Notamacropus eugenii: one gene and its partner. The protein of the gene in region 1 interacts with the protein of each later gene in a pairwise test. Links are inferred from orthologs where the notes say so. Each region holds a gene or a part of one and is shown in the gene's direction. Other genes may lie near its edges.

What was found. The genes of interacting proteins can lie anywhere in the genome.
Region 2: the proteins of UBASH3B (region 1) and DOC2A interact in binary tests that used the Homo sapiens proteins (3 or more experiments, as listed by UniProt). The link is inferred for Notamacropus eugenii from reciprocal best matches to the Homo sapiens genes UBASH3B and DOC2A.

The regions. Positions count from the first base shown.
Region 1 is NC_092876.1:274,979,841-274,987,045, reverse strand, and holds the start of UBASH3B (ubiquitin-associated and SH3 domain-containing protein B), read left to right. Parts: upstream 1-4,180; 5' UTR 4,181-4,523; coding exon 4,524-4,654; intron 4,655-7,205. UniProt on the Homo sapiens protein: Interferes with CBL-mediated down-regulation and degradation of receptor-type tyrosine kinases. Promotes accumulation of activated target receptors, such as T-cell receptors and EGFR, on the cell surface.
Region 2 is NC_092872.1:46,862,970-46,871,013, forward strand, and holds the start of DOC2A (double C2-like domain-containing protein alpha), read left to right. Parts: upstream 1-4,993; 5' UTR 4,994-5,152; intron 5,153-6,276; 5' UTR 6,277-6,290; coding exon 6,291-6,582; intron 6,583-8,044. UniProt on the Homo sapiens protein: Calcium sensor which most probably regulates fusion of vesicles with membranes. Binds calcium and phospholipids. May be involved in calcium dependent neurotransmitter release through the interaction with UNC13A.

The DNA.
Region 1 (7,205 bases):
CAGACACCCAGCACAATGGGGAACAAATAGCAGCAGTTCTCAATACAAACAAGTGCCACAGATAGAAAAAGCTGGGTGGTGGGGTGGGTGAGGGAGCCAGACTGGGAGTTCTTTAGAGCATCCCTGAAAAGAGCAATTTCCATTTGTGAGGCATTGAAAAGAGCACAATCCCAGGAGCCAGGATAAATCTACCTCCTCAGATTGTTATGATGATAAATGAAATAATATTTGTAGAGTGCTATTAAATGCTATCTATTATTATATATGAATATATGGGTATATGTGCATATATAGACATGCATATGTATATACATATACAAACATGCATGACAGATACAAATATGCATTCAAGCACATACATGTATATACATGCATGTGTGTATGTATACATGTAGACATATGTGTATGTATGTGTAGATCTATATATGCACATTAAACAGACAACCTCTCAGTCCTCATAACAACCATGTGAACCTAAAGGCATTTGGAACATTATCACCATCTGTGAGACAAGGACACTGAGGTTCAGAGAAATTAAGTTATTTGCCCATGGTCACTTGACTGGTAAATGTCAAGGGTAAGATTCCAACCCTGGTCTCTCCTATCTCCAAGTCTTGTGACTTTTTTTTAAACTATGAAACAATTCATTTCCTCTCTCTCGATCCCAGTTTTCCAATCTATAAAATGAGGCAGCTAGACTAGGTGACTTTTAAGGTTCCTTCTAGGTCTGAAGATCAATCAGATTCAGATTTGCATTAGAAAGTAATATAATATTAGCTATCATTTACATAGTGCTTACTTACTATGTGCCTAGAATGGCATTAAATGCTTTACAATTATTATCTCTGTTTATCTCACAATAACCCTATGAATTCTGTTATGATCCACATTTTACAGTTGACCTAACTGAGGCAGACAGAAGTTAAGTGACTTGCCCATGGTCACACTGCTAGTTGGAGGCTGAGGCTGGATTTAAACTTAGGTTTTCTTCACTCTAGATCTGGTGCTCTATCCACTGCATCACCTAGCTGCTTCAAGATATGTATTCTCCTTTGTTCCCAAAAGGTGCAAAGACTGTTTATCATCTTTTCATAGAAGAGGGGGAAACTAGGACCAAGAGAGGCCAAGCGGTTTTGTTCTGTTGGTTCTCAAAGGACAGAAGTAGGGCAAATAGGTAGAAGTTATATGGAGAAGAATTTAGAATACCTGTAGAGATAAACCGTCTATTAATGAGAACTATCCAAAAGTGAAGTGGGGTTGCCTTGACAAATAATAGATTTCTGGTAGAGGCTGGGTGAGCCCTCAAAGTTTTGGAGGTCCTTTCAAAATGTGAGAGTCTATGAATCTATAATGGGTAGGGTCACATGGGATAGAGCCTGGACATCTGGTTTTATTGGTACATGGAATTCCTAGATCAGGAATTTTCATCTATCAACGCAGATCAACAACTTCCCTGCAATTTTTAATTTCAAAGTTGCCTAAAGCTCTAAGACATTAAGTGACTTGCCCAGGTTTACACCACCAGGATGTGTCTGAGGCTGGACTTGAACCCAGGTCTTCCGGGCTTTGAGGCCTAACTATCCATTATGATCCATTGCCTCTTTTTTGTGGAAGAATGGATGACCTCCTCAAACCAACATTAACAGGGTCCTAAGACCTTAGGCAGATTTTCTAGGGCCCCCAGGCCTGCCTTTGTCTCAGCTTTGTCAGAGATCACTTGGCAATTCCTCCCAATTGCCAGACACTATTTGGAAGAGTCCCTTATATCCTACCCAGTGACTGGACTCAAGGATGAATCTCTTTTATTGATTTTCAGACTTGCTTTGTACTCACTCATCCTCATCACATTCAAATACCATTTAGAAAAATCAATTCCCTACTAAGAAAATCAAGCCATGTAGTTTTCCCTGGAATTCACTTCAAGGATTGGTGACTTCATCCAAGTGGAGGCTCTTTCTTCCTACATAGATTGCAACCCCTCTAGTGATTTGGTTGATGGTCTTGAAGAAGTTTCTAAGCCTGAAAAATTCATCACCCTGACACCACCAGGTGATAAACCCTTCTGAATTCACTTTGGCTGGTTCTCAGACAAATGACAGACAATCTATCATGGAGTGCAGACTCCACTCCTTTCCAGATGGAAAGAACCCACCAGAACTGGCATTCCTTTGCCACAACCATTGATAGCCGATTGTCACCTCCAGGCATTCTGAGGAAAGTATCTCTGGGGACAAAACCCAAAAAATCAGAGTTTAAATAGCTATATTAAACTAAAAATCTTTCTGCCCTTAGGCAAAAGTGTGAAATAGCTAGTTTGTGAAACAGCCTATAGTCTCTCCTCTTTGGGAGATATTTCCTGTGGTGTTCTGCTCTCTTCCCTTCTCTCTGAAGCTCAGATTCCTTCTCTCCTTTTTTCCAGAAAGAATCTGATATGTCTTACATATCTTTGTGTGCATTTAAGTCAACTCTTAAAATTTCTTGCATTTTCAGTCCCTTCTTTCATCGTGAAAAGAAAAGCTTTGTTCCCTGGTAAAGAAATTTTAAGTTTCATTCAACAAGAGGGAGTGGAGGAGGTTTTTCAGGGTAGAATAGAAGACTTTCTAGTGTGCTGAAAATATAATTATGGAATCCAAGAATGTTAGAATAAGATGAGGCCTTAGAGATCAACCAATCCAATACCCTCATTTTATAGAAAAAGGAAACTGAGGCCATGAGAAGGGAAATGGGTTGCCCAAGAGTACAAAGTTAGAGAGTGGCAAAGCTATGCCAACAACCTGACTTGCATGCTGGGGCTATTTGCCCTACAAAAGTAATCAAAACATCATTTAGAAAAGACCACCCCAACCTGCTTTTTGTTCACTTCAGAAATCCTCTCGATAGCCTGCCCCAAAAAGCTCATCTAATCTCTGCTTTAATTTTTAAAGTGACTGGGAGCTCACTATTTCAAGAGGCAGCTCTATCCACTGATGAACAAGTCTGGTTATTAGAAAGTTTATCTTCATTTCGAGCCAAGATCTGCCTGTCTACAAATCAACAAGTGCAGGCAGTAGTCCACTTTAGGAAGAGTAGTAGGAGAGGATAGCATCTAGTGAAAAGATTGGGAGACCTGAAGTTGGGAGACCTGAATTTGAATCCCGCCTTGGCATTTGCTAGCTGAGTGATCATGAAGAAGGAACTTAACCCCTTAAAAAGCTTCAGTCTCCTAATCTGTAAAATGGGAATTATAATATTTTCACTACCTATCTCACAGGGCTGTTAAGAGGAAAGGTGTTTTGCAAACTTTAAAGCACTGGATAAATGTGTGTTCAAATCCTGCCTTCCACACTAACCAGATGTGTAATTCTGAGAAAGTCACTTGATTTCTGTCTGTCTGTTTTCTCATCTGTAAAATTGGAGAGCTCCTACCTCCCACGGATATTGTGAGGATCAAATGAAGTAAGTTATACAGTGCTTAGCATAGTGTCTGGCATAGAGTAGGCGCTATATATAAGTGATGATGATGATGGTGGTGATTACTAATTGTGTGACCCTGGGCAAGTCACTTGACCTCTGGACCCCTCAGGCTCCTCATAAGTAAAATGGTGATAAGAGCTCTTACTTCTCAGGGTTCTTCTGAGTATCAGATGAGATAATATACATAAAGCAATTTGCAAACCTTAAAGGCCTGCTATTGTATCAACATGATTGTTGTTGCCAAAGAAAGGAGAAGTCGTTTGTTACTCCATCCTGAGCAGAAAGGACAAGTGGCAACTTTGTTTCTAATGGCCGCAGCTGCACTCGACATTTACGGAGGTTCTTTCTAACGCAGACCTCTTTCTCTGGGTCTCACTGCCCGGGGTTCTGAATCCTCACAATCAGCAGTTCACGTTAATGGCCTCATCAAGCATTCATTAATTGTGGACACGTGTGTCAGGGAGAAACGTGTCGGGTGTCAGGGGTCAGGACTGCGACCATATCTGAAAGCAAATGAAGGCCACGGGGCAAATGCCCAACGCGACCCCTGCGGGTCGGATCCCCTCTCTAGTGTTGAAGGGACGCGAGCCACAAGCCGCGGGAGCTGCCGCTTTAAGAGAGGGGCGGGGCCGCTGACACGGGGCAGGCAAGGCCGGCCCACCCGAGCTCCTTTTCCCTTTTTGATCCATTCAAAAATTACTCATTGCAAATTCCCGGACTGCTAGGAGCGGAGGCAGGGGGCGGAGGACGGCCGCGCTGCTGGCAGCGGGCGCCTGCGGGGCTTGGAGGCGCACGGGCACCGGCGCCTGCAGTCGCGTCTTATCGGGCACCGAGCCGCCGCTCCTCCGCGGGCCGCCTCCACCAGGAAGCCGTCGGAGTCAGTCGGTCTGAACCGCCGGGCCGACCCTCGCCGGCGAGCCGCCTCCTTCCCTCCGCCCGCCCGCCCGCGCCGCAGCTCCGGCGGCGTCTCCTCCCGGCCATGGCTGCGTGCTGAGCCCGCTGTGGCTCCCGGCTCGGCTCGGCTCGGCTCGGCTCGGCTCGGCGGCGGCGGCAGCCCCAGCCCGCCCGGCATGGCTGCGCGAGAGGAGCTCTACAGCAAAGTCATCCCCCGGAGGAACCGGCAGCAGCATCGCGCCGGCACCATCAAGCATGGGTCGGCCCTCGAGGTCCTCCTCTCCATGGGATTCCCCAAAGCCCGAGCGTGAGTGAAAGGCATTTGCATCCCTCCTGCCCTGCCCTGCATCCTTCCTTCTCTCCCGGCATCCTCCCCTGCCCTCTCCTCTGCCTTTCTCCTCGGCCGCCGCCTCCTCTGGCTCCGACTTCTCCGACGCCGGCCCTCGCCCAGATCCATTACCTGCTGCGCTGCTGGCGAGACAGGGTGGAAAAGGATGTGCTGGAGATGGGATGGGGGAGGACCTAATTCCCTTTCCCCGGGACCCCCGGGGCGAGGGGGGCGCGCGTGTGCGCCAGTGTGTGAGCGCGCTCGCGTTTGTGTGTCGGTGCCCTTTGGTTCTCTCGGGGTCGAGGGTTTTTTTGTCCGCATCCCGGCAGGCGGCAGTAAGCAGGTGGGACCTAGGTCATCCCTGAGGTCTCTGTGGCAGAGCCAGTGCCACAGGCTGCCTGGAGGAGCTAACAGGATCGGGGAATGAAATCCCACTGGATCCCTCGCCCCATCCTGGGGCTGCTAGGGAGAGATGAGGGGACTGCGGAGCATAGAGACACTGCCGTCACCCCCCCACTCCACCCCACTCCCACTGCAGTGGTTTCTCAACTCCGGATGTTGGTTTCCCTTTGGAGTAGGAGGAGCGGGAGTGTGGGTGTTGCTGCATATTCATTGATAGAGTAGCTAGGATAAGACGATTTTCCACCTGGGGACCTGAGGGATGCTATTTCCCTCCTCCTCCAGAGGTGGTGGGTGAAATCGGAGGGGACTTTCTGGGTGGAAAGCTTCCCTTCTCCATCATTATCTTTTTATCCATTCACCCACGCCTGTGGTGGGAGTAAGGACAAATTGGTGAATCTCGATGGCAGAAAGATCTGGCTGACCAGAAGGAGGATCAGGGGAGAGCTGCCTGAGAAAGCCCTTGTCAAGTCTGTGTGGGCACAAAGTAGAGGTGGCCTGCAAGGGAGAAAAGTCAGAAACACCATCGCTGTTTTATTGAGTCTGCTGCCATTTTATCCTGGCTATATTTTAGCCAGACTGCCCAGCACCTTAGCTCTGTAATGACATCAGCAGAAAAGAGAGATTAGGGAAAACTTTATCTGGAAAGCCAGGTTGCTGATAAGCACACTTTCCTTCCTTTTCAGAGACATTCCCGTGAGATAATTGTCTCCCTTTCCCCACCTCTGGACTCATCTTGCTTACACTTTGCAAAGTTTGGTTGTTCAGATCATCCAGGGAATTTGAAAGGAGCTGGAGGTGGAATGGGGGGGAAGGGGGGTGGCCTTCAGAGGACAGGCCCATTTTTTCCCATTTCCCTCTTGTTTAACTTGGGCAACTTTCAGACTCAGTCTGGGATTGAAGTACTCTGGGTTATAGGAACAAATAGTGGGCATATTGATGGATTTTACTTTCCTTTCTCAATGAAGGCATGAGAGATGGATCTGTGTGTGCAGTGGGTATGATGGATGGTATCTACTGGTATTGGATGAAACAGGGACTCAGGGGAAATTGAGAAATACAGTCCTGCCACACAGCGTCATAAACCTAGGCACAATTCTGACATCTTGGCTTCCAAAAATGCAAGTGCTGGCCAGTGCTGAGGACAGGCGTGACATCATGTTGTAGCAGAAATATAAATGGGAGAGAAATGTTACTGAACCTAATGTCTAATTTGGAGTTTTATCACCTTAATGTTATGGTCAGCTTTATTCACCTCCCTCTACCCCAGATGTGGGGATAATAGAATGTGTGTAGGGGAAGTAGTCAAACTCCCCAAGTAGTGGGGGATGGCTCTGTGACTCCTGTGAGCCTCTACCTAACTTGATGAGCTATAGGGGTGAAGTAATGGTGAGGAGAGATCAACGACTGCTTTTCTACCTAGGAAGAGAGGACAACCGAAGCATTAAATTCTTTCTTAATCCTTAAGACAGCATTTAGGAGGAGAAAGAGAGAAGTAGTCTGAAGAGGGAGGACTATAATGAAAAAGTTCAAGGCAGGGAGACAGGTTTGGAGTCTCTGGGAGATGGAGATATAAAATATAAGGCAACCTCAAGGGATGAGCAACAAAATATCCCCCGAAAGGATAAGTCTAACACATGATAAGTAACCACTATAAAGAGTGCAGTTGGAGTTCCTAGGGCAGTAGTGTATGACTTCAGAGCTCACAGTCTCAACTATAATAGGTTCCTTTTTAATAAAAGTTAATATTTTATTTGATATATCAGCTACTTTTCAGCAAAAAAGACTTCTTCACCCCAGTACCATTTTATTAAAAAAAATAGAGAGAGAGAAGCAAAACCACTTAATAGAATGATTAAGTGGTGATGGCAACTTACCGCACATGTTAATTTCCAAACTGTTGTTAACAAAAAGGAAGGTTGTGTACTTGAACTTTGATTGCTTGGATAGGTTTCTTATTAAGAGAAGCAGGGACTGGGAGCCCTTCCCTCCTTTTCTTCCCCTTTTGAGGTTATAAATATTCTCAGTTGTACCAAGTCCTGCTGTAGGGTTCTGGGAGTTTCAGAGGCCAGGGAAGCAATGAGACAACACCAAAGGGTGGTGGCCAGGACAGAGAAATAGAAGGCCTGAA
Region 2 (8,044 bases), on another chromosome or scaffold:
GTCTGTGTCTATGACTGGCTCCATGTAAAGTGAGAGCTGTTTGTATATACAATGCAGATCTCAGTGCACTAATCTCTTGCAGATATGTTTAAACATACAAATCACAAAGAGTAAGAAGTTTAATCTTGGGGACATCTCCCCTAACAACCCATAATTCTTTTTTTTTTTTTTGTTATTTCAAGTAATTTTTTTTTATTTTGTAATGTTTAACAATCACTGCCATACAATTGTGATTTTATCCCCCCCACCTACCCCCCACTCCCCCCCTCCCTCCCCACGACTGCATACAATTCTGTATAGATTCTACATATACTTTCCTATTGAGTATATTTTCACTATAGTCATGCTATGTAGTCAGACTAAGATAAATGAAAGAAATCGTATAACAAATCAGAACATGATACACAAACACATACACATACACAAACATGATCTGCTACAATATGTGAGTGACTTCCATATTTCTCTCTCTGAGTGTGGCAGGCATTTTGCCTTGAGATCCTCCATTGGGATTTTTTTTTTTTTTTGGTAAGAAGTTCTTGTGTTATTACAAAAATCTAAGTCTACCAGAAAAAACTCTCACACACTGTGACAACCCATAATTCTTTAACGGTTCTTTTTTCCTCCACAAATTTCTGGGAAATGCCTGAATTTATCTAGAATATTCCTCTAGTTGTCTTTTACCCATAGGGTCCCAAGTTCCCATGACATGCTTAAGTTGAAATACCTGTCAGACATACGAGAGCTTTTATTTCACCCTGATAGAATATAGTGCATAAAGAACTCACATTAACCTATGAACAACTGAAATAATTCTCTCATACCAGTAGGTCTCCCCTTTTCCTAGGCCTTATACCTCCCAGACTCATAGTGCCATCTTGTGGTTTGGATTCCCTTAGGAAGAGGAATAGACGTGGAGTTGTTAGAGGGGTGATTCTAGTGAGTCCCACTTTCATGAGAGACTCATTCAGGCATTCAGTCTTATAGCAATTCTCTGATGGCTTCTGCTCTCCCTCTCCAAGAGTCTGAGGACTTCCCTGGAACTCCTTTTCCTTCTCTAAAAGGTTGGATCCTTGAATATTCAAATCTATAGGTGCCCTTCTCAGTTGTGTTGCTCCTCACCCTTCAGGGCTCATAAATAGTGTGGAGGAAAAGGTCTTTTTCAAGGCACTTGATGATCTAACCCTTTCTACAAAGCATTTGTCCACCCCATTCTTCCATCACCTCCATTCTGGGCCTCCAGATGTGCTGATCCTTCAGCTTTCCTCTCTCCAAGATCCCCATACCCAAGGGTTCATATTTGATTTCTCTTTTGAATTTCAACATCTAAGTCTCCTTTGATGGACAAATGGCCATTTCTGTCACAGATGTATTTAGAACTATGGAATCGGAATGCAAAATGAAGCAATTTTCTCTTGTGTTATGTTTTGTTTTGGTTTTTCTCATGGTTTCTCCCAATCATTTTAATTTTTCTAAGCAACATGACTAATGTGAAAATGTGTTTTATAAGAATATCTGAGTAGAACCTATATAAGATTGCAAGCCATCTCAGGGAGGAAGGGGGAGAAAATTTATGACTTATGGAAGTGACTATTGAAAACTGAAAACAAACAAATTAATTTTAAAAAGTTGTATTTAGAACACTTTCATATTGCTGTTAATAGTTTGCAGTTTGTTTGAGAACACTTTGTTTATATCTTTTGGCCACTTACTTATATATTCACCAGGAAAAGGTAGTCATATATTTGTGTTAGTTCCTTATACATCTTGGATATCAGATACTTATGAACGATATCTTATACAAAACTTTTCCCTAACAGCAATGATTTTCTTTTCAAAATTTTATGTAACTCAAATGATCTGTTTTTATCTATTGTAGATCTCCTCTATCCTTTAGTTAAAACTGTCCCCCTAGCCATAACTATGAAAAGTACCTGATCTCACTCTCTTTTATTTTATATGGTATGACCTTCAATATTCATGCTATATATCCATTTTGAAGTTATTGTGATATATAGTGTAAGATGCTTAAACTTAGTGTGGTGCAAAGTATAAGATGTTGGTCCAAATTTAATTTCTGCCAAACAGCTTTCCAGTTTTTCCAGTTCTTATTGAATAAGGAGTTGTTTCTCAATTATTTGATGTTCTCAAGCTTTTCAAACACCAAGTTGCTGAGTTTGATTTTTCCTCATCTTTCCTTATCTAATCTGTTTCAGTGATCTATTGTTCTGTTGTTTAACCAGTACCAAAAACTTCTGCTGATAATGGCTAGAACTTACATAGTACTTGGAGCTTTGCAAAACACTACATGTATTTCTTTTGATTGTCATAACCAAGAAGTAGTTGCTACTATTGCTTTCATTTTATAGATAGGGTAACTGAGGCGAAGAGGTTAATTTGCCTGGAGTCACACTGCTAGTAAGTGTCTGAGGTTAGATTTGAACTCAGGTCTTCATGACTCCAAGTACAGAGATATAACCAATGTACTACTTAGCTGCTGCTGATTACTGCTCTTTACTATTTTAAGATATGATTTGAATGCTGGAAATGTCTTCCCTGATTCATTACCTGGGGTTACTTCCTACCTTCCTCTTTTGAGTAATAAAGAGCTAAGTTTCCACTACTGAGATAATAGGTTCGTTCATCCATATTCAACAGCTTTTTACTCAATATTTACCATGTGCCCACTCTGTATAAAACACTGAGAAAACAAAATATGAACAGAATACAAGCGTGGTCTTTAGGAACTTAAAGACATAACTACAACACTAAGTACTCTGAAGAGTGAGCCTATAGAACCTTAAGTGCATGAACCAATGGGACGACTCAGCTGTGGCCAGGCTGGGAGGAGGGATGGGAAGTGTCACCATCCATCATCTGCTAGACCAGGAAACAGGAAGGAAAGAGCTGAGTCAGATGGCAGGACTGGGGACAAAAGATATTTCCTCCTTTTTCTTTCTCTTCACCCCATCCCCAGCCACAAGTCAAGCCTTCTGAATATAGAGTCTAAGTATTATTACGGAGCCTTAGAGCCTGTGTCTCCTAAACCCTTGTATAAATCCAACATGAGGTTTAGAAGGCGTATTTCCAGCCTGCCAGACGCACCCTGCTACCTACATAGAGACCTTTCCTATTAAATATAATCCCCAGTCCTGGCCTGCAAATTGTCTACCTTTCACTTCCCATGCAACTTACTGTTCCCTCCCATTGGGCCCGCAGGGCAGTTACTGTCACCCCAACCACCCACCAGCCCTCCTCTCTGACACAGTACTTCCCATCTCTCCCCCTCTCAGAGCCTCTCCACCACTTTCACTACTCCTGTTCCCACGGCTTCTCTCACCAATACATCTAGACCCTAGGCCTGATAATTTCCTAAGGAATATCAAGATCTTTCCCCAGCTCTCAAAGACCGCCACAGAGCACTGGCTGTAGCCAGACAACCCAGTGAGGAAGGGAAAGTGTCTGGATCCCGTTCAGGGGGCCCCAAGCAGTAAAAGGAGAGTAGCGATTGATCGGAGAGGCTGAGAGCTGCCACCCCCTCCTGAGCCTTGCACCGACGGTTTGGCCCCCGCCCCCGCCTCTGGAGGCTGCCAGATACCAGCTGCCTCATTAGCCTAAAATTAGCTGAGATCTTCCAGTCCCCATCCCCCTCCCTCAGGCTGGTGGGGAAAGCAGAAACCCTCAATGAATTGATGGGGAAGGAAAACCTAGTGGACAAATGGGGCGGGGGACCGGGGGAGATGAGCCACCATCTGGGGCCTGGGACAGGGGTGGTTGCTTCCATCTCGGAAGATAAGATCAAGATAGGCAGGCCCCCTTCAATGGGGGGAATGATTTAGGGTGGGGGCTGTGAAGCGGGGGGCAGAACTGAAAAGCAGAGTGAGGAGAAAAAGGAGACTGGTGAGGAGGGAGGGAGAGACCAAGGTGGGGAAAGACTAATCAATCAGGGGTGGGGGGAAGCGAGTCCCTTCCCCCTCAGCAGATCCCAGAATCTGTTCTTTGGTGTGAGGAGGGGGAGTCTGGGAGCAAGAAGGTTGAAGGAGGGCTGGGGTGGAGAGAAGGAGGAAAGCATTGCCATGGCAACCAGGACCTAGAGCTTCCCTGAATTGGGCAGAGCCAGTCAGCCATACCTCAGGCCCAGTCACCTGGGACCCGAGAGGGAGGCACTGGGAGGATTAAGGATGGCAGGGGCGGTGGTACTGAGGAGGGGGCCACAGCCCCTGGGTGTTCGCAGAGGGGAGCAGCAATGGGGGCAACCAAGGGTAATCTAGGGGGAAGAAAGGGAACTCCCGGGTTCTGTGAGGAGGGAGCTGGGAAACACCAGGCGCTTCTCAGTCCCTGGTGCTGGAAATCCTGGAAACCCAGAACTCTATGTGTGTGTGTATGAACGTGTTCTTGTGTGTGCATATTAATTCGTACAAATGTGTGAATGCTCCCAAGTGTATCTGTCTGCGAGCATAGAGGTGTGTGGTGAAAGTAGGGGGTTCCAAGAGATCATGTAGATACATGTGTGATCACATGTGAATTAATGAGTGTGTTTGTATGGATGTGGAATCCCCTGTCTCTGCATGGTACAGACAGGAATGTGTATGTGAATACATGTGTTTGAGACACGTGTGTGTCAGTGAGTGTGTATCTGATCATGTGTGGTGTGTGTGGGTGTGGTAAATGGGAACATGTCTGTGACTGCATGTGAGGGAGGACTGCATGTGTGAATGGAATCTGTGTGAGCATGTGTGTGTGTTGGGGGGCTCTGTTATGTGCAGGAGTGTGCATGTGTTTACCTCCCACCCAAGCCTGCTTCTGCACTTCTTTGTCTGTCCCTCTGTCCTTCTCTCTTCATCCATCTCTCTCTCTCCTTCTCCCTTGCTTCATCTCTGCCTCCACCTCCCTCACCCCCTCCTCCCCAGCAGGATCTCTCTCTCTCTCTCTCTCTCTCTCTCTCTCTCTCTCTCTCATACACACACACACACACACACACACACACACACGCACACACACACACACGCACGCACAGCCGGACTCCTCTCTCTCCACCTCTGGAATCTCCTCCTATCTCTGCGTTCCCTGCTGCTACCTCTCCCTGCACCTTCTGAGATTCCCTTTCTGCTGTCCCCCTGGTTCTCAAGCACCTGTTGGACCACAGAGACAGGTGGAAGGGGCTGGGCTGGGCTGGGCTGGGTGTGTATGTTGGGGGAGGAGGTGGGGAAAGGTTGTGTGTCTGGGGAATCTGTGTTTATCTCTCTCCCATTTACTGCAATCTATCGGCAGTCGGCAGTCGGGAAGCCCAGCGCCAGGTGAGAAGAGAGCAAGGGGCTTCCCCAGCAGGCCCTGAGGAATAGGGGTTGAGGGGGAAGGAGGGATGAACAAACCGAATGGGGACGCACAGAGGTCCCGGAGGAGCAGACAGCCCAGAGGATAAATGGAGTCTAGGGAGGACAGACAGCCCAAGAGACAGACAGGAGAGGGGGAGGGGGGAGAGTGGAACTCAGGCTGAGCCTGGTGGGGAGACAGAGCCTCGGGGAGGACGAGGAGGACAGAGGGAGTTCAGGAGAAGGGTCAAGACCAAGGGCAAGAAAGTCAGAACCTCTGTCCAGGGAAATTTCCTGGAGGGGGGAAGAGGACAGAGTCAGGGATGAAACCAGATTGGAGTCAGGCCTGCGGCCCCTCAGGGCCAGATGAGGGGCAGAGAGGGATGAGCTGTGGTTAGAAAGGAAACTGAGGCCAGAGGCCAGGGTCCAGCCAGTCACCCTCCCTATTTGCCCATATGCTGTCTGTCATCCCTCCCCTAACCATTCCATTTCAGGCCCAAGAATTTAAGTAATGAAGGCCTGGCAGACACAGGCAATTAACTCACTTCCACAGGGGAGAAGCCCTGTGGGTCTGGCTGTTTATGAGGATGTAGGTCCCAGTCCACCTAAGCCCTCACGGGGATCCCACTTAGGGCCCTGTATGGTCCCTTATAGGAATGATCTGGCTCTGTTACTTTCTTCTCTGCTCTTGCCCCAAGCACCTCCCAAGAGAGATGACCTCCCCCTGTTCTCCCCCCACATCCTAATAGGCCCTGAGATTCCAGAGGCTCTTCTGGGGGATCTGGTCTCATTTCCCATTCTTTGGAGGCCAGACCCATCAAGGCAGGACCCTTACTATCCTCCAGGAGGATGATGCCCAGAAGGCTGGGGGAGGAGCCTAGAGGAGAAGGGTGAAGAGGAAAGGTCATTTAGGTTTTTAAAGGAGAGGAATCCATAGCTAATTTTCCTTTTCCTCCTTTTCCAGTGGGGGACGTGTGAATGAGGGGCCGGAGGGGTGACCGAATGACCATCAACATCCAGGAGCACATGGCCATCAATGTGTGCCCTGGCCCCATTCGACCCATCCGGCAGATCTCTGACTACTTTCCTCGGCTAGGACCTGAGGGTGGAGGGAGTGGAGCAGGCCCCCAAGCCCAGCTCTCCCCAGGGACTGGGGCTGCAGCTACACCCAGCCTAATGCCCCTGACTCTGTCCCCAGGGGCTGGTATTCGAGGGGCTGGGGCCTCTGAGGAGGGGGCTGAAGTGGACAGCTATGACTCAGATGATACCAGTGAGTCTGGGGAGACAGGGAAGGTGCTGGGGTCTCAGGATAGCTGATCATGGGGAGACCCCTAGGAGCACTGGGAAGGGGAGGCTTGGGAGATAAAGGGCTCTAAAAGAGAAGGTAGGGGAAGCCAGGGACACCAGGGTCCTTTGGGGAGAGAGAGGCCCTGATGCTGCAGCCTAGCTACTGTCATCAGAGTGACATTACATCTGTCAGCCTCAATATTAAGTATTTGTGCTGAGACACCCTCCCACCTACACAGACCTCAAGCCCTAGTCACAGCTGAGGACGTAGAAGCAAAAGCAAGTCTCTCTCTCTGTCTCTTTCTCTGTGTCTGTCTGTCTGTCTCTTACACGCACACACACACACACATACATGCAGTCACTTATAGTCATATACACAGTTACATACATATATATTTCCTGACACATAGAATGTCACTCATCCTCAGACCTCACACAGGTACACAGAAATACCCAGAAATTATTTTACACACTTCCACTCTTCTATAGTCATCTATACTTCTACTCACACACACACAGGCACTCAAATTCGTGCACACATGGGGTCTACTCAGAGCCACACTCATATCATCATATACTCACATGCACAGATACTCATTTCTCCCTCTCATACAGATACACACACTCTTCCTTCTATGTCTCTCTGTGTGTGTCTCTCTCTCTCTGTGTCTCTCTCTCATACACATACACATACACACACACACACACACACACATCCAGGCCTCTCAGTTTTACCTTGACAAGCATTTATTAAGTGCCCCAATGTCTTTAAGTACTAAGTACTTACCAGGCATTATTTCTGGCAATGGATGGGAATATAAAGACAAAATGAGTCCTTGCCTTCAAAGACCTTATATTTTTAGGGGTGGGGTGGAGTGGCATGTAGCATACACAGTTAAGCATAATAGAAGGTAATGGTAAGATAGATCAAGTACTAACAACTCAGGTGAACAGGGAAGACTGCTCACAGAAGGTAGCACCTGAGTGGAACCTTACAAAGAAACAAGGGATTTTAAGAGGTACAGACAAGGGAGTTAATTCCAGGCATGAGGAAGAGTCTGTTCCAAGGTAGAGACTGGAGATGGAATATTGAGTTCAGGGATTAGCTAGTAGATCAGGGCCAGAATGTTGAGCACATGAGGAGGAGTAAAAGTACATATTTGGGAAGGTTGTGGAGGGCTTTAAATACTAGACTGATGAATTTTATTTTCTGCTAGAGGGTATAAGTAGCCATTGAAAATTTTTATACTGGAGAATAATATAGTCAGATCTGGCTTTAGGATGGTAATCTCTGCCTTGGTTTGGCATAGGATTAAAGAAGGAGGAGATGGGAACTAGGAGGACAAAACTAGTGGACTATTGTAATAATTCAGGAAACAGCACAAACAAAACCAATGCAACCAACATTGAAAGGAAAGTAGAAAACTGGGGAAAAATTTTTACAG